2 linked regions of the Stegostoma tigrinum genome follow. The protein of the gene in region 1 binds, or shares a complex with, the protein of each later gene. Links are inferred from orthologs where the notes say so. Each region holds a gene or a part of one and is shown in the gene's direction. Other genes may lie near its edges. The genes, in order: plekhm2 and ADP-ribosylation factor-like protein 8B-A.

Region 1 (11,703 bases):
ACAACCCATCTGGGTTACTATATGCACTCGCCAGTGAAGGTTGCAGAATAGTAATGGCCCCACCTCTGAGCTAGCAGGCCCAGGTTCAAGTCCCAGCTTCTCCAGAGATATGTCACAACACTTTTGCAGGTTAATCAATAGTATGTATGCACACACCATCCTGACTTGGAAATATATCCCTGTTCTTTCAGTGTCACTGGGCCAAAATCTGGGAATTTCTCCCCTCATTATATCACTGGTTTACTGACATGAAATGAACTGCAGCAGTTCAAGAAGACAGCTCACCACCACCTTCTCAAGAGAAACTAGGGACAGCCAGAGTGCCCACATTCCCTGAATAATTAAATAAATGACTAGCATCGTTAGGGAAGGAATCTTCCATCCTCATCTGGTCTAGCCTGTTATAGTTTCAAATCCCGTGAGTGCTACTATCTTAAAATTGACCATTCCTCCTCACTGTCCCCATGTTATAAATGTCAGATATGAGATGTGGCCACTAATCCTTCTTGTTGGTATGCTTTGTTTATTGATACCATGCGGGAAGGGTGCCCACACGCATCTGAGACAGTAAATAAGTTCAATCTTGAAGAAGAGTAATTAAATTTATTATATATTGGCTAGCTACATTTTGTTTAAGACATAGGACTGCCTGTTGTGGTTAATCAAAATATAGGAGCAGGAATAGGCCATTCAGCCCTTTACCTGCTCCAACATTCAATATGATCATGGCTGATCATCTAACTCAGTTCTCAGTTTAAGTTTTCACTCCATACCCTTTGATCCCTTTAGCCTTAAGAACTACATCAAACTTCTTCTTGGAAACACTCACTGTTTTGGCCCCAGCCACAGAATTTCACACTCACCACTCTCTGAGTGAAGAAATTTCTCCTTTTCTCAGTCCTAAATGGCCTCCTCCCATACCCTTATATTGAGTTTCCTAGTTTTGAAATTCTCTGTTATTAGTACTATCCTTCCAGCAGTTATCTTGTCGAATCCTATTAGAAACTTATAAAATTCTGTGAGATCCTCCCTATTCTTTTAAACTCCAGTGAATATAGTCCCAATCAATTCAATCTGTCTCCCTACATCAGTCCTACCATCCCAGGAATCAGGCTGGCAAACCTTTGTTGTGCTCTCTTCAAAGACAGAACACCCTTTCCCAGATGAGAATAAAACCTTACATAGTACTCTACGTGTATCTCACCAAGGCCCTGTACAGTTACAGCAAGGCATCCCTAATCCTGTATCAGACTCACCTTAAGTGTAAGCTTCTGATACCACTACACTATTAATACTAATACATTTGCACACAGCATTGACAACAAGCGCAGAAGCACACAGGGAACCAGTTATCCCCTCCCAGGATGTCCTTTATATCCTGATGAGTGCAGCCTATCTCATAATGTCAGTCAATCCTTTCAGGTCCTAATACATGGTCCACATGTGACTCCAGATCCACAGCAACGACTCTTAACTGCCCTCTGAAATTCAGCAAGCCACTCAGTTCAAGGGCAATTAGTGATAGACAACAAATGCTTGCCTTTCTCGTAACATCTCTATCCCATGGAAGATTAAAAAGATAAAGAAAGGTAAAGTCTGCTAATGCTAATTGGATACTGCAATGTAACAACACAGGAAGTGATGCAACTTCACATGACCTTGTCTCTCGCAGTCTTAAGGAGGGATGAAGCTGCAGTAAGAAAAATAAAATTAAATAAATTGAATGCTTTCCTTGCTTCATAAGATTGCAAATACTCTTTGGGATCAAAATGAGACAAAGAATATTATAGGTATAAGGGATGAAGAAGCTCACTCTCCTTTTCATTAAAATGATTGGCACAAAATAACTGAAGGTAATGTGAGGAAAAACATTTTTAACGCAATGGGTGATTAGCCTATGTCTGTGGTGGAACAGGTTGAATCATAACTTTCAAAAATTAATTGGGCAATTAAATGAAGTGAAATATTTTAAGATCTTCAGGGAAAGGTGAAGTGAGTGCAATTAGTTCAGTTGCTGTGTAGAGAAATGGGAAGGACATGAAGGCAGAATGACTTCTTTCTGTGCTAAAGCTATTCTATTATTTTTGAAGGATAAAGCTGGATAGAATATAATGTGTCAATTGTATTGAATTTTCAATGGTTAGGTTGCATATGCAATCACATCTTTTGTTTCCAAGGTTTACCTTGAAGAGACAAATATATCACTGTCCATTCTGGCCTTCTACACACACTGTTAGGGTGTCTTCGTTTAAATTTATGGGTTTGAAGACAATTTAAGGAATCAAAGGCTATGGGAAAAAAGTAGGAATATGACATTGAGACAGAAGATTAGCCATGATAATATTGAATAGTAGAAAAAGTTTGATGGGCTAAATGACCTACTCCTCCTATTTTCTATGCATGGGTTTTGATTCTTGCCTCGAGGCCAATATTTCAAAATTTGGACAGTAGCAACTTGTTCATCCCAATGAACAGCAGCAAAAACTCCATTATGTGACAGGACTTTCACCCTTGCGTTTTTTTGGCTACAAAAGTGTTTTTCAGACTGGAGGTCTGTAACTACCGGTGTTCCATAGGGATTGGTGCTGGGTCCACTTTTGTTTGTTATTTATATAAATGATTTGAATGAGAATTTAACGGGATAGTTAATTAGTTTGCGGATGACACCAAAATTGGTGATGTAGCTGACAGTGAAGAAGGTTATCCAAGATTACAAGGAGACCTTGATCAATTGGGCCAATGAGCGGAGGAGTTTAATTTGGATAAATACCAGGGATTGCATTTTGGTAAAACAAATAAAGGTCAGGACTTGTACTGTTAAGGGAAGGGACATGGGTAGTGTTGTCGAACAGAGAGACATAGGGGTTCAGGTAGATAAAGCTGCGTCACAGATAAACAGGGTGTTCAGAAGGCATTTAGCACACTTGCTTTCATTGCTTAGAACATGAGTATATGAATTGGGATGTCTTGTTGAGGTTGTACAAGACACTGGTAAAGCCTCTTCTACAATACTGTGTCCACTTCTGGTCACCCTGTGAAAATTGGAGAGGGTGCAGAAAAGATTTACCAAGCTGCTGCTGGAACTGGAGGGTTTGGTTTATAAGTAGAGGCTGCATAGGTTGGGTTTTTTTTCCCACTGGAGCATAGGAGGTTGAGGTGTGCCCCTACTGAGGCTTTATAGAGTCATGAGGGTCAAAGATAAAGTGAATAGCAATGGTATTTTTCCTTAGGTGGGCAAGCTCAAAACTATGTGTCATAATTTTAACAAGAGGAAAAAGATTTAAAAGGGACCTGCAAGGCAATGTTTTCACACAGAAAGTGGTTTGTATATGAAATGAACTGGCAGAGCAAGTGGTAGACGTGGGTACAATTACCATATTCAAAAGACATTTGGAGAGGTGCATGAATAGGAAAGGTTTAGAGGGATATGGGCCAAATGCAGGCAATTGGAGCCAGTTTAGTTTGGGAAAACTTGATTGGCATGGACAAGTTGAACTGAAGGGTGTGTTTCTGTGCTGTATGATTCTATTACTCAATGGCCATCCGACTCCACCCACCCTCATCTCACCTGTCCACCCAGCCACTTGTGGACCTCTGAACCTCTTTGGCCATTCAATAAGATCATGGTCAATCTGAATACTCCACATTCCCACCTAACCCCAGCAATCTTTCCTTCACCCCTCGCTTAGCAAGAATTGATATATCCCTGCTTTAAAAGTATTCAGAGATTCTACCTCCACTGCCTTTTCCAGGAAGTGAGTGCCAAAGACTCACCACCGTCTCCAAAAAAAAGTTGAGTCCTCATCTCTGACTTAAATGGACGAACCCTTACTTTAAACAGTGATCCATCATTCTAAGAGCTCATGAAGTACGAACGACTTCTAGAAAATGTTTCAACACCAGTTTGTTACAGACTGTGGGTCTTTCCTTGGCTTCAGCAGACAGTGATACTTATTCACTGCCATTCTGCTGCATTCAGCTTTCAAGACCATCACAAGGCAAGTAACATAATCAAATGGTGGGCCAGGCTCCTGAAACTAACCAGAATATAACTTGTTATAATCATGGTTTCATATTCTGAAACATTGAGTGAAGATCAGCTTGGTGAGGTATGCAAGGAATTTCAGCAAAAGTAGTGTCATGCATCATGCATCATCAGTTCTGTGGAAGGGTCACTGGACCCAAAACATTAACTCTGTTTTTTCCTTCACAGATGCTGGCAGACCTGCTGAGCTTTTCCAGCAACTTTTTTTTTCATGCATCACGCACTTTCTTATGGAAAGCATGATTACGTGAGTCTCTTGCCCCTTTCAGTAGGTGATTGGCAAGGGGGTAGGCTAAACAATTTAAAGAAAAAAACTTTGGCATTCTTTTGATTGCTTTTTGGTAGTTGAACTGAATAAGGTGTGCGATTTGTTGAGTGTGGGCAGAGCTACTGCAGTTGCTACAACCGCCCTCACCCCTGGATTAAAGGGGGTAATATGATGCAGGGCTCCTGCAGCTGATGGGGACGCAGTGATCTCAGTGGAAAGGTCCTGGGTCTGTTTTCGTCACCGGCTGAAAGCCACACACAGAATGGCCACTTTGGGGGAGGTACTGAATCAGTTATTAGTATGGGTGATAATGGGAACTGCAGATGCTGGAGAATCCAAGATAATAAAATGTGAGGCTGGATGAACACAGCAGGCCCAGCAGCATCTCAGGAGCAGCCTGCTGTGTTCATCCAGCCTCACATTTTATTATCTCAGTTATTAGTATGGACCTGACTACAATTGCATTCAGGATACAGTCTGCTCATCATGCCTCGCAGTTGCTTTCAAAGGGCCGTTCTAATTCATCTCACTTCCACGTAAAAATTAGAAAAGTAGGAAACTCAGTATCAACTCAAATCCATATTTTATTAAAACAGCGCTTGATGGGAGTCTGCTATTTCAATAGCTCAATGACACCACCTGGTGTTTTACATGGGTTGATTTTTTTCTTGCCTACCCACACATAAATAATACGCCAGAACTGCAACTTCGGGACTCCGTTCAGGAGGGTACAGTAGAAATAAAACCTGCCCCTTGAGGTCAGAGATGATGGGAACTGCAGATGCTGGAGAATCCGACATAACAAAGTGTGGGGCTGGATGAACACAGCAGGCCAAGCAGCATCTCAGGAGCACAAAAGCTGACGTTTCGGGCCTAGACCCTTCTTGAGAAAGAATCAGCTTTTGTGCTCCTAAGATGCTGCTTGGCCTGCTGTGTTGGCCCCTTGAGGTTGTGGTGTGACGGGAGTCCCGCCTCTTGAGATGGTCGGAACTGCAGATGCTGGAGAATCCGAGATAACAAGGTGTAGAGCTGGACGAACACAGCAGGCCAAGCAGCATCATAGGAGCAGGAAGGTTGACGTTTCGGGTCGGCACCCTTCTTCCTAAGGAAGGGACAACATTAACCTATGCTGAGATAATAAAATGTGAGGCTGGATGAACACAGCAGGCCAAGCAGCATCTCAGGAGCAGAAAAGCTGACGTTTCGGGCCTAGACCCTCGAAACGTCAGCTTTTGTGCTCCTGAGATGCTGCTTGGCCTGCTGTGTTCATCCAGCTTCACACTTTATTATCTTGGATTCTCCAGCATCTGCAGTTCCCATTATCTCTGATACTATATTAACCTATGCTGCCTTGGTTTGCCTTCAGGCTTATTTACCCTGAAGAAGGGTTTCGACCCGAAACGTCAAACTTTCCAGCTCCTCTGATGCGGCTTGGACTTCTGTGTTCATCCAATTTCACACAGTGTTATCCCGCCCCTTGAGGTCGTGCCTAGTTGAAGTCCCGCCTCTTAAGGTCGTTGTCCAGCTGAGGTCCCGCCTCGTAAGGTCGTTGTCCAGCTGAAGTCCCGCCTCTTAAGGTCGTCGTCCCGCTGAAGTCCCGCCCCTTAAGGACAAACGGCGGAGGTAACCCCCGTGACGTCAGGCGCTTCTCAATGTCTGACGCACAGCCCGTCACTCAGAATGCAAGAGCGCGCACGCGTGGTTGTCGCTTTCGGTGATCGGGCGCGCGGTCACGTGTCGACGGGAGAGCGCGCATGCGCGCGCGCCCTAACCGGTGAGGGGAGTGAGCCGGGCGTCAGCGGCGAGCCCCGGGGCCTGGGCTGGTCTTTGCTGGTGAGGATGCTGAGGCCGCGAGTATGGAAACCCTGAAAGTGAAGGATCGGATCCTGGAGAACATCTCGCTGTCGGTGAAGCAGGTGAGAGGCTGGAGTCTGCAGCACCTTGACCGGCGGATTTAGTGCGTGTCATTACTGCCGACCCGTTTGGTCGCCCAGCGGCACTGCCTGAGACAGGGCGTTGTACAGAGCCAGGCAACAAAAAATTGGCTTCTATTTTTTTATTAGGAAGCATTCCAGTGTTGTTAGGATCGCACTGTACCATTCTGCCTGTTTTCCAGGCTAAACTGCAGACCAATGTTCGAAGTTGACAACTGCATCCACCTTTTTAATAGAGAAAAAGGGGTCTGGGATTGAGCAATCACATTGGCCTGATGAGCTGAATGGCCCTGGACTTGTTTCTCACTTCGTTGCAGGAGCCATGAAAGCGCAGCCTGCTGTGTTGTGATGCTTTGTCGTAGGTTGGTAATCTCAACGGTAATCTTTCGACAAAAAAAGCCCTTAATCAACCTCTGTAAAAATCTTACCATTTATGCGTGCATTCTCCCTCGCATAGACATTGTTTACGTTTATAACGGGCACCAGCCTTTGGCAAATAATCCTAGCTATTACCACTGAAGTGAATTGCAGAGGCGTTTATCGCAGTCTGAAGCATGGGAGAAGAACAAAAGAGAAGTACAGCCCAGAAAGAGGCCCATTGTCCTTCCAAGCCTGTACCAATCATCATGCCCTAACTAAATTTAAATAAAATCTTCTGTCCATGTCGCTCTATTCCCTCCCTATTCATGCCTCTTAAATGTCGCCAATGTGCCTGCTGTCACCACCTCTTCTAGCATTGCGTTCCACGCTCCAACCCTGGATATCCTTATCATGTTGTGATCACTCATCACAACAAACCTGTTCATTTAGTACTTCAAATTTCAAATACATAGATATATTTAATGAAAAGCAAAAGGTCAGCAGACGCTATAAATCAGAAACAAAAACATAAGTTGCTGGACAAGTTCAGTAAGTCTGGCAGCATCTGTGGAGAAAGATCTGAATTAATGGTGCAGTTGCTTTTTTAATAATACCATTTGATTTGGGCTTCTAAATGTTTTAAAATTGATTAGCAAAAAGTATTATAATGATGTATGCACCACCACCACCTCGGTGTAAACTCACATAGTTTGTCTGCCTGAAGTTATGGATAATAAACTATGGCACCAGCCCACTGGCTAGCTACAGTGGGAACTGTATTCTGTACAGATCATTTGTAATCTTGCTGAGTAGCTCCTTATTGTCTGACGTGTTTGACAGTTCTTAAATTGAAGCTCGAGTGTACTGGGCAACAGGTACTTTCAATCATGTTTCCACATTTGATTGTCTAAATTCTGTAAATTTTTGAAAGCAATGTTGATACTGGAGTACTTTCTAATCTGGACACCAATTGTCAGCATCAAGCATGTTAAGTCAAACAGCCACAGAGATCCACATCCTTTGTAATTGAATGACATTCTCTTTATCTTTTCAATGAATGAAAATTCAAACTAAAATTCAATAACTGACTTTAAAATCGTAAATTCTTCAGTGTATTGTCCAAATCCAATTTATTTTAGGAAAGAAGAAAGCGCGCCTCTTCTTTGTAGAAGTGCCTATTCAAGAATTAATATTTGGAGTAAATTCATTGTTAATCCTTTCACATATGCTAAGGAATGTAATAACTAAACATATTTAAATATTTACACACTGTACAAATGTGTTTGATCATTCTGCCACACTGTATAACTAGCAGAACAAATAGAGCAACAATTGTTATACAATGCAGAAAAGACCTCGTTTATGTTCAGCAGATCCAACAACATATTGAAGAAGTTAATTGTGGGTTCTACTAAAAGAATATTCAATAGATAAAACCCTGGTGAATTTATTTGTCACATTTTTGCCTAGGTTGCCTACTTCTGTAGAATTGGGGCTATAGTCTGAGAAATAGGGCTAAACCATTCAGGAGAAATGTTAGGATGCACTTCTACAAAGAATGGTAGTGTTTGAACTCTCTTCTACCAATGAGTATCAGTTGTTAATTCTAAACGTGAGCAAAGGTATTAAGGGATATGGGCCAAAGGCAGGTATGTGGATTTATGTTACAGATCAACCATTATTTGATTGATGGAACAGGCTCAAGAGGTTGAATGGCATTTTCCTATTCCTGTGTTTTCTAGTTGAGAGTTTTTAATTGTCCATTCTGAAAATAATTGAACTAATAAATTCCTGCTCATGATGTTGATGGTAATGCCAATTGGGCTATGTTGAACAGCATGGTTTTGTCCTTCATTGGAGCTGATGATCTTTTATGCTGTACGATACATGGGTTCTGGATTGGCAATTTGGGGTCCAGCTGATAAGTACTTTTGGTTTCAGCTTCTTGTATCTAACATTAAACTGTGTGAAGTGAGTCCTGTGGATTGTGTTGGTATTGATTGAAATCATGTCCGTTGTGCTCCTCCATGGCTGACAACCACACTGTGACCCAGGGCAGGTTCCTCAGCTACAGGGAGGATGCAGTTGGGGAGGAACTTGACGATAATTTTTCCAATAGTCGACTGCAAGGAGATTCTGCTGTAGTTACGCAGTTGGCCCTGTTCCCTTTTCTGGAAATGCTCGTGACTGTGGCATCTTGGAGCGCTCCCAGGATGCTCTCCTCCTTCCAGATAAAGCACACTAGGGCATGTAGCTGCAGCAAGAGCTTTTTGCCTCCCTACGTCAAAGCCTCAGCAGGGGTACCATGTCCACCAGAAGCCTTGCTGATCTTAGGCTGGCAGATGGCCTTCACTACTTTGTGCAGAGCTGGGGTGTTGCTGAACTTGTGGCATGTAGTAAGCTGTGGGATGCATTCGAGGATGCTCGGATCGATGACAGAGTCCTGAAAGGAAGTAACAAATGCTGCATAGTAGAGGGTGGGTTTTTACTGTGCAACAGCTGCAGGAGAAATGCAGAGAAAAGAACCTTACCCTGTACGTGGCCTCCTTTAACCGTATTGGGAAGCATCGTGGTGCGGCCTTCTCCACTTTGGTTGCACCATGGAGTTTGTCATCATCCTTTGCCTGCTCTGTGATGACATGGAAGTCATGGTAATAATAAATGGCTCCACCAGTGCATCCCCCATTCAGTCCCCAGTGTCAAGCAGGGCTACATCATCGTTCAACACTGTTCTCGATCTCCTTCGTTGCAGTGCTTCACCTCACGGCTGACAAGCTCCCCACTGGAGTGGAGCTAACTCTCAGAGCCAGCAGGAAATTGTTCAATCTCTAACACCTTCAAGCCAAACCTAAAGTCACCCCAACCACTCATCGAGCTGCAGTATGCAAATTAACGCCTGCGTATGTGCAATCTGAGGATGTGCTCCAGACCATCATCAGCACCTTTTGTGGAGGCATATGAGAGCATGAATCTCATTCTGTACATCCGCAACATGAAGGTCCTCTGCCAACCAGGCCTGGAATTGTGGAACGAATCCCCAATCATCAAGGCCCATGGGAAGGCCTTAAAACAACATTGGCCACTTCCAATACCTCCTATCGGCCAAAGCAGTTATTGTTGAAGAGATCCAGCACCACCTCCAGTCTGCTAGCGCAGTCTTTGGCTGCCTGAGGGAAAGGGTACTGGAGGACAACAACATCAGATACAACATCAAGATGCTGGTTTACAGAGCTCTGGTGGTTTCCGGCCTCCCATATGGCTCTGAGACATGGACTGTCTACAGCAGACACCTCAGGGCACTGGAGCTGTACCACCAATGCTGTTTGCGCAAGATCCTGCAAATCTGCTGGGGAAGAAAGACGCACCAATACCAGCGTCCTCAATCAGGCCAACATCCCCAACATCGAGGCACTGGTCGTGATGGACTGGGCACATCGCCTGTGTGACCAACACGAGATTCCCCAGCTTCAAAATGGCAGATGAACCCCATGTGGATAGAGGAAGCTCTTCAATGATACCCTCAAGGCCTACCTGGTGAAGTGCAGCATTCCCAGAGACACCTGGGAATTACTGGCACAAGACCATCCAGTGTGGAAGAGCAATGACCGGAAAGGCGTCAAGTTCCTCAAGGCTTACTATGGGCTGGGAGAAAGCAGAAGCCAGACGATAAAAAGAGTAAGGAGTGCACTGCCACACCAACATTCCACCCACCTTTTCCCACAACCACCCGCTGCCCCAAGTGTTTAAAAAAAGAACCTGCAAAAGCTGCATCAGTCTGTACAGCAACCTACAGACTTGCCCTGAGAGTGGAAGAGAGTTATCCTTGTCTGTAAGGGATAGCCAGTAATGTTGGTATTTATTAAATTTTTTAAAAATTAATAATGGAGTTGGGTACAGTTAACAAATTTAAAAGATATCTGGATGGCTGCATGATAGGAAAGTTTTAGAGGGGTATGGTCCAAATGCAGTCACATGGGACTTGATCAGTTTAACATATCCTGTCAGCACAGATGAGTTGGACTGAAGGGTCTGTTTCCGTGCTGTATGACTCTAACAGATACTTCACGTGTTTATGCAATGTGGAACAGATCGGGAATAAATTTCCATTTAGCGTACCACAAGATAGTCCCAGATCATTTGGTTAGATCCAACACTGCTTGATCAAGCCCTTCCGACTGTGGCATTTTTAAATGATAATCAGTTTATATGGTTCCTTTTAAATGTACTTTATTCTTGGATTTGGTTGGTCTCTGAGATGAAAATTGCTACATTTTGTTTTAGAGATGCTTGCCATCCAATAGATATTTGATTCTTCTAGTTTAAAAATACTGCAACTCTTAGCTTTGCTTACTGCCTAAGTAAAATCTACAGTGTGATGTCTAAATGTCATTGGCCTCCGGAGCTTCCATTTCAGCCCTACATTGACTATACCCCTCCTCATGGTCATACTTAAAAACAGCATTGCTGCCCATTGTTCACCCCTTCTACCAGTGGATGTGGGTAAATTTATTATGATCTACACAAACCAGCGAGGTCCTGGGTTCATTTTCTGGCCTATGCTTTGCAAGGCAGTTGTCCTTGGAAGGTGGTGAAGTCTAAGTTTTGAGCCATGTTGCTGTATATTTTTCCACTAACAATCCTACAGAGGACCCCTTGTATAATTACACATTGGAAATTGCAGACCCAGAAATGTTCAAGTAGAGCATTAACGTAGATTTGTTTTTAAAAGCAACCTGTTCTTTGATGTCATTACACACTTCTGAAGCAGGTCGGACTTGAACCTGGGCCTTCTGGTTCAAAGGTAGGGTGCTACGTCTATGGCATGAGTCATCTAAATTAACCACCACTACTAACACACTGATTACTGAGCCTGTACTTTATTTTAATCAGCCTGTTTAGAGTTGTTCTGACACATCTCTAGGGCAGCAGGGACTTAAACCCAAGTCACATGGCTCAGAGTTAGGGTACCCATCAAGGTATTTAATCAGCCTGTCAGCAGATTAAATTATACATGCTTAGAACAGGTGAGACTCGTACCTGGCCTCCTAGCCCAAAGGTATGAATCTTACCTCTGTGCCACAACAGCCCTATCAATA
Region 2 (11,407 bases), on another chromosome or scaffold:
TAAGTCTATACTGCCAAAAATATACTATTACCTACATTAGTCCCATCTTCTCACACTAGGCCCAGAGCCTTGAATGCTATGACAAATCAAGTGCTCATCCAAGTGCTTTTAAAGGTTGTGAGTTTTCCCGCCTCAATGACCATTCCATGCAATGCATTCCAGAACCTCACCAACCTTTGGGTAAGAATGTTTTCTTCAAATCCCTTCTAAACCTTCTGCCTTCTCCTTTAAAATTATGTCCCGTTGTTAGATTCTTCTAATCAACCTGTGTAGCGATGCTATTACGTATCTCTGGAGCAGGTGGGCCTCGAATCCAAGCCACTGTGACTCAGAGATAAGAATATTACCATTACACCACAAGAGCCCCTATTGGAACCTTGTTATTCGACTAAGAGAAACAGGTGCTTTCTATTCACTTTATTCATGCCCCTCATAATGGTACAGACTTATATTAGGTCTCCACTTTACTTTCTCTTCTCCAAAGAAACAACCCAGGCTTATCTAGCCTCTTTTTGCAGCTGAAATGCTCCATTCCAGGCAACATGCTGGTGAATCTCATTTGCAAGCCTGACAGCACAATCACATCCTTCCTATCGTGTGTTGGCTAGAACTGCACACAGTACTCCAGCTGTGACCCAACCAAAGTTTTGCACAGCTCCAACATGACGTCCTTGCGTTTATAATCTATGGCATGACTGATAAAGGCAAGCCTTCCATATGCCTTCTTAACAAACTTGTTAACTAATTCTGGCACTTTCAAGGATCTGTGGACAAGCAACGCAAGATCTCTCTGTCCCTTTGAGCTTCGAAATGTCTTCTGTTCATTGATTACCAGTTTAACTACAAGAGTCTGATTTAATTAACAAAAGATAGTTTTTTGCAAGTGAACAACTGATTGCAGATTACATTAGTATATAATAGACATTGTTACAGAGAATTGAGGAGGGCCACATGTTAGGTTCAGCTTCTTTGAGATTCTTATCTGACAAATGTATAAGACATTAACATCCTATGGCACTCCTCTCCTCCACAAATCTCAACAGGCTGATTAATTTTTTAAAATCCTGTCATACCAATTTAAACACATATGCATCTCTTCCTAAACTTTTTCTTCTCATTATTAATTTATACCATTGCATATATAATTCCATTTACAGCTGCCCACCTCACCCACCACCCCCCAGAAAAAAAAACTGTAACGTTACAAATTTAGGCAATTTGAGCTTTCTCTATTCACCCAAACACATTCTCATCAGGTTTGGAGGACTCGTAGTTAGCTGGGTAGAGGACCATTGACTTTGATTCTTTTCCTGACCAACTGAGATTTTTGGGTCAGCTCATTGGTTAAGTTGCTTATTTGGTTTGCTAATCAATCAACGGTAGACAATTAACCCGCAGTGCGACAAGGTTCTTAGAGTCCCTATGTGAACCCACTTTGTTAGTACAAGCTATGTACTATCTCTGCTGGTCTACAACTCCATGGATGGCCATATCTCTTCTTTTTTGATCCATGACCAACACTGGTCATCCCAACACTAAATGTGATGACTGTCTAGTGCAACAGCTGCTATTGTGTGTATGGCTTGTTGTGCACTCAGGGCTCAAGTGCAGTGGAGGCCAGACATTGGATGTCTTCAAGGCAGAGATCGACAAATTCTTGATCTCAGAAGGAATCAAGGGCAGGGAAGTGGAGTTGAAATGCCCATCAGCCATGATTTAAATGGCGGAGTGGACTTGATGGGCCGAATGGCCTTACTTCCACTCCTATGCCTTATAGTCTTATGGCTCCTCTCTATTCTATATGTGTTAATAGTTCAGTAGACAAAGTATGGAACCAATTTCCTTGGTAGAATGAGGAGTTGAGTCTTCAGTCTCCATCCCATCAGCAACACTGGTGGCACAGATCACATTTAGCAGTGTCAAAGGGAAGTCAGCATACAAGTGAGTGACTGAACTGTTGTGACCCCAAATATGGCTTTCCAATTTGCTCATAATCACAATAAGTTCCTCTTATGCTTTAACCTCCAGATTTACAGGTACTATTGGGATTTGGTTTGTATTGTTTATAGTGAAGATAGAAGAAAAATATTTATAAACTTCATCCACAATTTGTTTATTATTTATTAGCTCCAATTGCTGTAAACCAATAGAGACACAAACACACACAAACACATACAAAAGCTCTGTAAGCCAATGTATTTTTCATTCTTGTGTTTTGTTAATCACTTTCAATCTTGTAATTATAAATTTGTTCCCTCTCTGTTACTTAATGTACACTGATGGTGGCGGTGTACTGGGTTTGTTTCATGGTGCATCAAAGAAAAATAAGGTATTCTGGTGAAAGAAGTGCCCTATGGTTTTGACAATAAGAAGATACAATGTGGAAAAAACACAAATTTTTGTCAAAGGTCTGTGATGTCAAAAAAAACTGCTGGTAAACTATGCCCCATTGTTTCTGAGACCATAAAGATGTCAGAGGTGGATAATCCAGTAACTGAAATGGAACAGTGGACAGAAGGTCCACTGAGACACCAATTCCAATAAAGACAGGTACATGAGGTGGAACGGTTTAGAATGAAGTGGACCAAACACAGGCAAACATAGTTAAATTTGGGATACCTGGTTGGCATGGATGAACTGGACTGAAGGGTCCATTTCCATGCTGTGTGTCTCTATGACTCTATAAGACTGTGATGAAATAAAACTTAGAAACAACTCAGGGAAGGGTTATAAGAATTAAATTGCGAACACCACAGAAACCTAGATTGTTCTCGGATAAAGAAACAGGGAAATGATTTATATATAGGTTTTGTCTTTGTGCTTTTCTACAAGGTTGTCCTGCTCTTTGTGTGTCTTCCATTTGAGACCCAGCAGAATGTATTAAGTTTCAGTTTTATATCGGGTCGTGTATGTTTTAAAGCTGTTGCGTGTTTAACGTGTGTGAAAATATCCCTATACAAACTGCAGGAAAATTGACTCAAGGATAGTTCATGATAAAATACATGTTTCAGTTTTTGGACTCAATTGCTTTGCTTGATCTGAATGGAATTTCTAGAAGGATCACTCTGGGAGAAGGTTGTAAATAAAATCTAAATTGAAGAAGTAGGAAAATTATGTTCATCCAATGAAAACTTGGAGACATTGTTCTTTTCCCTCCCTGAGATTGTAAGAGACTATTGTTTGTCACCAGTTTGAAAAATCTTTCTTAGAATCAAAATTATTTTTAAATTGAATGAGTGCTGTGGAGATTGTGTGAAAATGTAAGGAAACTTTCAGCAGGGATTATCTTTAGGTGATGGCCTAATGTATTGTCTCTAGACTATTAATCCAAAAACTCAACTAATATTCGAGGGACCCGAGTTTGAATCCTGCCATGGCAATTGGTGGAATTCGAATTCAATTAAAAACCTCTGGAATTAAGAATCTAATGACGACCACATAACCATTATCAACTGCCCAAAAAAAAAATTTGGCTCACTAATGTCCTTTAGGGTGAGAGATCTGACATCCCCATCTGGTCTGGCCTATCTGTGACTCCAAATCTACAACATTGTGGTTGATTGTCAACTTCCCTCTGAAATGGTTGTGCAAGCTACTCAGTTGTATCAATTGCTACAAAGTCTCAACAAAGAAATGAAAGCAGGTGGACCACCTGGCATCAACTTAAGCACCAGAAAAGGCAATGGCAGAAACAGCCTTGCATATTCCTCCTTACCAACATCTAGGGGTTAGTGCCATAATTGTGAGAGCTGTCTCACAGCCTAATCAAGCAACAGGGTGAAACAGTCATACTCACAGAATTATACTTTACAGACAATGTCCCAGACACCACCATCACCATCCTTGGATGTATCCTGACCCATCGGCAAGAGACTCCCAGCAGAGGTGGTTGCATAGTTGGGAGGGAGTTACCCTAGAGTCCCCAACATTGACTCCGAACCCCTTTGAATTCATGTAGCTTCAGGTTAAACATGGGCAAAGAAACCTACTGCTGATTATCACATACTGTCTTCCCTCGGCTGATGAATCAGTACTCCTCCATGTTGTACAACACTGGAGGGTGGCAAAGGCAGAAAATGCACTTTGGGTGGGGAATTTCAATATCCATCACCTAGAATGTCTCAGCTACTGATTGAGCTCATCGTGTTCTGAAGGAGCTAGCTGTAAGACTGGGCTGCTGCAGGTGGGGCAGGAACCAACAAGAGAGAGAAAAAAAAATCATACTTGACCTCATCGTTACCAATCTTCTGGCTGCAGGTGGTTCTGCCCACAACAGCATCGGTAGATGTGGCCAATGCACAGTCCTTATGGAGACGAAGTCCTGCTTTCACGTTGAGAATATCCTCCATCATGCTGTGTGGCATTATCACTATGATAACTGGGACAGACTTTGAACTGATCTAGCATGTCAGGACTGGAATACATGAGGTGCTGTGGGCCAACAACGGCATTAGAATTGTACTCAAGCACAATCTGCAACCTCATGGCTCAGCTTAACCCCCGCTCAACCATTACCATCAAGCCAGGGGATCAAAAACAAAGTTTCTGGAGAAGCTTTGCAGGTCTGGCAGCATCTGTGAAGGAAAAAACAAAGTTAACGTTTCGGGTCCGGAAACCTTCCTCAGAACTGAAACGCTAACTCTGTTTTTTTCCTTCACAGATGCTGAGCTTTTCCAGCAACTTTGTTTTTGCTACTGATTTACAGCATCTGCAGTTCTTTGGGTTTTTATTTAAGATGGTGGAATCAACTCTGGTTCAATGGAGAGTGCAGGAGGGCATGCCAGGAGCAGCACCAGGCAAACCTAAAAATGAGGTGTCAAACTGGTGAAGCTACAAAACAGGGCTCCCTGCACACCAAAAGGCTTGGACAGCAAGTGATAGACAGAGCTAGCATAACTAATAGTTTGGATCTAAGCCCTGAAGTCCTGCCACATCCATTTGTGAATGGTGGTGGAAAATTAAACAACTCACTGGAGGAGGAGGCTCCACAAACATCCCCATCCTCATTAATGGAAGAGCCCAGCACATCAGTACAAAAGATAAGGCATGAAATTTTCACAGCAATCTTCAGGTATAGGTTACATTGAGAATGATAGCTATTGTTTCAGAGATTTTGAGGAGGACCAGACATTAGAGGCAACTCCTTTAACTCTTTCTAAGTTGTTTTGCCCACAAATCCATTTGCAACTATCATAGTGGGTGGTGTTTATAGCTGGCCTCAGAGTTAACCCTTTCAGACCCATATATTATGTGCAACCACCTGGAATGGTCTTTGAAAAGGCTCGTGCAAGTAGGGCTGAATGGCTTCCAATGCTGAATGATTCCATAATATCTGAAGCACTTACAGTTAACGAGATGCTTAATAAGGTAGACATTGCAATGTAGGAAATGCAGTGTGCACTGCCCCCATAGTCAGCGGTGAGGCAAATAACCTAACAACCTGTTTTAGTGATGTTGTTTGAGTGACAGGGGACAGGCCCTGTGGTTTCTTTAACTCATAGTGATGGAATCTTTGATTGAGCTGAGGGAGCAGACTGTGTCTTGGTTTAACATCTCCCCAGAAAGTGGCATCTCTGATAGTGCAGCAGTCCCCCCGCCCTGCAGTTGGAATGCCAGTCTAGATTATGTGCTCATACCTCTTGAATAAACTCAACCTTCCGACCGAGGTGAACAGTTGACACATTTACACATAAGTAAATGAAAATCTCCTTCGGTTTTTTTTAATGCATGGATTATGCTTTCCATTGTTTAACGATTCATTAAAAAATATGCACCTGCTTTCAGTTCTTTAGAGTCTCTTTACTCCATTTATTTCAAGCTGCTCCCTTATCGTGGCTCTGGGAGTGTGCCTAAAGCGTTGACATTTGGACACATAGCCCTCCCTTTCACTGGGCAGCTGATGTTACGCTCTTCCCTTGCTCAGCTGTCATATGATCACCGGCTGCGGAGCTGCAGACATAAGGCAAGCTGAAGCTGAACTGGTAGAGCAGCAGGAAGTGGAGAGCTGGAGCCAGAGAAGATGAGCATGTTGGTGCTGATTAATAAGTTGTTGGACTGGTTTAAGTCCCTGTTCTGGAAGGAGGAGATGGAGCTGACCCTGGTCGGGCTGCAGTACTCGGGCAAGACGACGTTTGTGAATGTGATCGCGGTACAGTGAATCTACTTAACCATGAACCAGTGCCTAAGTGTTTCATTGTGTGTTTATTAATTATTGTCACTATCATTATTCATCACTTATCAGTCACCTTTGACCACCAGGACGGGAAGCAGGCCCTGACTTTAGGGCACAGCCTCTCCCTCTTTCTTCACCTCCCCCTCCACCCTTTACCAGCGAAAGCACTTGGTGTTAAAACGGAAAGCTTACGGAGAGCTGAGGCTTGGATGGGAAGCGCTGTACTCCCTTCTGTCTCAGCGGCCTTTCAGGCTTGGGTACCCAGCTCGGGCGTCAGTGAAGAGCTGCCCTGCTCCTCTCAGTTATATATGCTCCTACTAGATCCCTCCTGGAAACGGCCTTATCATCATTTCCTGCCAATGATTGCATGTTATGGTGCTTTACTGTTTATGCCCATGTCAGTCTATATTATTTCCAGCTTTTAGTGTATGAAGATGTACCTTTCCTTGCTCAGCACCCCACCCATCGCTAATGTGATAACATCATTTTATTTGTGTGTGTTTGTACGTCTGTGTATGTACACATATACATTGTGCTATCATGTATGGTCCAACTGATGAGTCACCTGATATTGCACAATCCCTTCCCAGGAGATAACAAGTTGTGTCAATCATTCACATGTATAACTGGTTAGCAACATCACCAATAATTGTTAATTATAAATTCTGGGGTGATACTTTCAAAATGATCATTTGCACTGTGTCCTCTTTCAATAGCTAAAAGTACTTTTTCTGTTTTTTTCAGTGATTTTAATTTTTGACAACCTTGTTTTTTCCCTACCATCTCCGCCTCCTCGCAAACTTAGAGATTTCTGCGATTCTTTATAGAATTGCAGCTGGATGTCAAGGAGAGAATGAAAAACATTCTTCGTGCTGTAATTTAAAATAAAAAAAACAACTTTATTTCCTCCTGTGCGATTATGATTTTATGTAATTCATAGTTGTTTGCCAAGCAAGTTAAGAGAAAGCTTGCCTCTTGTGTTAAGTATAGATTGTCATTGGACAGAATAGTTACTGCAGTACTGTAAAACTCAGAAAATGATGTTTTGAAAAAGCTCAAAAATCCATATTTGCCTTCAGATGCAGAACTTCTATCCATTTTGGAATACCTTTCTGCATTCCTGTATTTTAAAATGGGTGTTTATTTTTAAAGAGAGTTAGCCCCCAAAGGCAATTGTGTCCTTTAATTTTCAATAGAAATAATGCAATAAGTTCATCAGCTCCCAGTCTGGTTGAGAAAAATGGTCATAAGCCCTAAAATGTTTTTCCTATTTGCTTCTGATTGCCACCTGACCTCCAAATATTTCCAGTATTTATTTCCAAAACCACTACAGCACATTCTGTCTTCTTGCATTGACCAGTCATTTACTTTTCACCAGCCTCTCTGGGGATGCTGACTCATCAGCTAAGTGAAAGACAGCTATCTGGTTGTAAACCTGTTTGATTCTGATTGTGACAAGCGTAAATCAATCCCTTTTCATTGCCTGCTGCCATTTTAACATGGTTAACCACACACCATTCTCTTCCAACATCTTGCCTGAGAACATCCAATTGTGTGGGATTGTCATCACTTGGTTCCATTGCTAATTATTCAATCACCACTGGAGAATGATCAACATTGATTTCCCTTCCATCCAAGTGTCCACCAAGGATCTGTCCACAGTTCCCTCCAATATCTCATTTACATTGTGCCTTTCAGTAATACTCAAGAACAAATCAAGTTGCAGATGGAACTCTTCATGAGATCCATCGTTTTCCTGTTGGATGAATAGAATTTCCTGCCAACTGAATATTGGGAACCTTGGACATTCGATGTCCAACAAAAACTCTGCTCCCTACTCATTGACTCCATCCCTTTCCTTGGGAACTGTGTGAACTTGAACTAGATTGTTCACAATCACCTACTTGTGCATCTAACTTCAACCATTTTCAGTCTTTCCTTGGCCTATCTGCTGTGGAAACTTTCAACCACAGTTTTGTTACCTTTAGAATCAACTATTCCAATAATGGCTAGCCTCCTGGTTTGCACTCTTTGTAAACGTGAGGTCATCCAAAACTCAGCTGCCTATTTCTCATTCAAATCAGGTGCCATGTACCGCCTAACATTCCTTGGCTGTCTGTTATGCCACATAGTTATTTTCAAGTTTTTAACGTTGGTTTCAAATTTCTTTCTACCTGTACAGGGAAGATGATGATGTGGTGATAATTTCACTGGATTTGTAATCCTAAATTTCAGGCAGATGGTCTGGGCACAAGAGTTTGAATTCCATCGTGGGAAATGGTGAAATTTGAAATCAATCAATAAATCTGGAATTTAAAGCGAGTGTAACGTTGACTATGAAACTTGTTGATGTCTCTCATGTCTTGAGAATTGGCTAATGGGCAGGAAATAACGAGTAGGGATTACGGGTTTATTCTTGTGTTGGTGACCAGTGACCAATGGCATTCCATAGGGATCAGTGCTAGGACTCCACCTGTTTACAATATATGTTAATGACTTGAAGGAAGGAAGTGAATGTACTGTTGCCAGATTTGCAGATGACACAAGTAGGAGGAAAGACAAGCTGTGCGAGGGATTCAACAGTTTACAGAGAGTTATTGACAGGTTAAGTAAGAGGACAAAAAGTTGGCAAATGGCAAATAATGTGGGAGGATGCAAAGTTCATTTTGGAAGGGACAGCAAAAGAACAGAATTATTTAAATGGACAAAAATAGCAGAAAGCTGCAAAAAAAGGACCTTGAGGTACTTGTGCATGAAGCACAGAAAGCTAACACACCAACGCAGCAAGTAATCATAAAGGTTAATGGAATCTTGGCCCTTATTTCAAGGAGGTTGGAGAATAAGAGTAGGGGAGTCTTACTGCAACTGTACAAGTTGCTGGTGAAATCACATCTGAGGTACTGTGAGCAGTTTATAGTCCTGTATTTAAGGAAAGATTGGAGGCAATTCAGAGAAGGTTTACAAGGATGCTCCCTGGTATGGAGGGACTGTCTTATGAGCAAAGGCTAAACAGTTTGGGATTCAATCGTGGCGTTTACAGGAATGAGAGGTGATCTTGGGGAAACATGTAGGATTCTTAAGGGGCTTGACAGAATAAATACTGAGAGGATGTTTCCTATCATAAGAGAATCTCAGACGCCCTCTATCAATATCGTGGGAATTACCATTGATCAGAAACTTAACTGGACTCACCACATAAACACAATGACTACAAGAGCTGGTCAGAGACTAGCAGTAACTCACCACCAGACTCCTGAAAGCCTGTCCAACATCTACACAGTACAAATCAGGAGTGTGATGGAATACTCCCCACTTGCCTGGATGAGTGCATCCCCAACAGCACTCAAGAAGCTTGACACCATCCAGAAAAAGCAGTCCACTTCATTCGCATTATGTTGATGAACATCTACTCCCTCCACCACTGATGCTCAGTAGCCGCAGTGTGTACTAGCTACAAGATGCGCTGCAGAAATTCACCAAAGATCCTTAGACAGCACCTTCCAAAGCCAAGACAACTTCCACCTATAAGGACAAAGGCAGCAGATACATGGGAACACCACTGTTTTCAAGTTCCTCTCCAAGCCACTCACCATCCTGACTTGGAAATATATTGCCAATTATTCACTGTCACTGGATTCCCTCTCTAATGGCATTGTGGGTCAACCCACGGCAGGAGGAATGTAGTGGCTCAAGAAGGCAGCTCACCACCACCTTCTCAAGGGCAACTAGGGATGAGTAATAAATGCTTGCTCGTCGGTGACACCCACATCCCACAAAAAAATGATTTCTTTTACAAAAAAGGCCATAGTCTCAGAATAAAAGGGCACCAATTTAATACTGAGATGAAGAGGAGTTTCTTCTGAAAATTGAGAATCTTTGGAACTCCTTGCCACAGAGTTTTGGGGGCAGAGTCCTTGTGTATATTTAAGGATGTGATGGATAGATTCTTGATCAGTCAGGGAATTGAGGGTTACGGGCAAGGCCAGGAAAGTGAAGTATGCCGGAACAGCTATTCTGTTGAATGGTGGAGCAGGCTTGAGGGGCTGAATGGCCTACTCCTCTTTCAATTTCGTATGGTTCCTAAGAAAAGGAGATGTATTGTGTTTATCTGCTCTGGCCGTGTGACTCCAGACCCAATGCCATCTGAAATGGTTGAGCAAACCATTCAGTTGTATGTAAGTACTGTGAAGCGTAAGAGAAGGAACAAAACCTGATAGAGGAATCAGCATCGACTGAGGAACCACAAGCGACAACGGGAAATGTAGCCCTTTCAGCTCTGCAAAGGCTGAGAGGAGTATGAAGCAGGTTAACGTCTCTTCAAGGCAGATTGGAAAGTGTGCACACCAGGTCGGCATCCCTGATGCAGCCTGGGAGGATTTTGCAGCAGGCCAGTATCCCTGTGATGCAGAGTGGATCTCGGTGAGAAGGGCTGCAACAAGAGGAGATACAAACTGGTTGCAAAGAACCCCTCCAAACTGTTTGTACCTGTCGGGACTGAAGTGTGGTGTCACAGGACAACATCCCCGACTCGTTGATACTTCTGCTGTATCTGTCTAGATTAGCCACTTAAATCGGGAGATATTACAGCTGAAGAATATGTTAAAACTGTTAAAATATTTAACATCCAAATTAATTATTTTAATCAGAGATGGCTGGGCAGGAAATGTGTTGCAGTTCTAGTTTGTGGGAACTGGTGGATGCTGTCATATTCCATGGTGAACACATCTTCAGCAAGTGAAGAAAGGACCCGACCCCAAATGTCAGCTTTCTTGCACCTCTGATGCTGCCTGGCCTGTTGGGTTCCTCCAGCATCACACTATTATTTCTGACTCCAGCATCTGCAGTTCTTGCTGTCTTTCAGCAACTGTTGGCTACTTGAGGAACTTTGGCTCAGAAATGATGGGTATGAACCCTCCATTTAAGAAAGAATGCGCTGGCATTGGAGGCAAAAAAGATATACTCGATGATTCCTGGGATGAATGGGATGACTTATCAAGAATAGTTAAACAGATTAGACCTTTATTCATCAGAGTTCAGAAAAATAAATGGGAATCTTATTGAAATATACAAGATTCTGAGGTGGTTTGACAGGTTAGATGTTGAGAAGATGCTTCCACGCATGGGGGAATGTCAAACTAGGATTGCCATAGGATAAAGGGCCACTGACATTGTGAAAGATTCTGCAGTTTCAAGATCATTTTCTTCATCATGGAGTATGGTGCCATGAGTAGATCC

The links.
Region 2: the proteins of plekhm2 (region 1) and ADP-ribosylation factor-like protein 8B-A are in contact, whole or in part, in a crystal structure (PDB 8JCA), measured with the Homo sapiens proteins. The link is inferred for Stegostoma tigrinum from reciprocal best matches to the Homo sapiens genes PLEKHM2 and ARL8B. Residues at the interface, in NP_055979.2 of Homo sapiens: His70, Phe71, Thr72, Arg73, Arg74, Glu75, Glu103, Ser105, Glu107, Ser108, Tyr109, Arg111, Leu112, Glu115, Glu147, Phe148; in NP_060654.1 of Homo sapiens: Glu22, Thr52, Val53, Gly54, Phe55, Asn56, Met57, Lys68, Trp70, Arg77, Phe78, Arg84, Tyr85, Arg87, Gly88, Val89.

The regions. Positions count from the first base shown.
Region 1 is NC_081381.1:31,745,734-31,757,436, forward strand, and holds the start of plekhm2 (pleckstrin homology domain-containing family M member 2), read left to right. Parts: upstream 1-6,055; 5' UTR 6,056-6,169; coding exon 6,170-6,229; intron 6,230-11,703. UniProt on the Homo sapiens protein: Plays a role in lysosomes movement and localization at the cell periphery acting as an effector of ARL8B.
Region 2 is NC_081371.1:14,230,942-14,242,348, reverse strand, and holds the start of ADP-ribosylation factor-like protein 8B-A, read left to right. Parts: upstream 1-5,900; 5' UTR 5,901-6,019; coding exon 6,020-6,148; intron 6,149-11,407. UniProt on the Homo sapiens protein: Small GTPase which cycles between active GTP-bound and inactive GDP-bound states.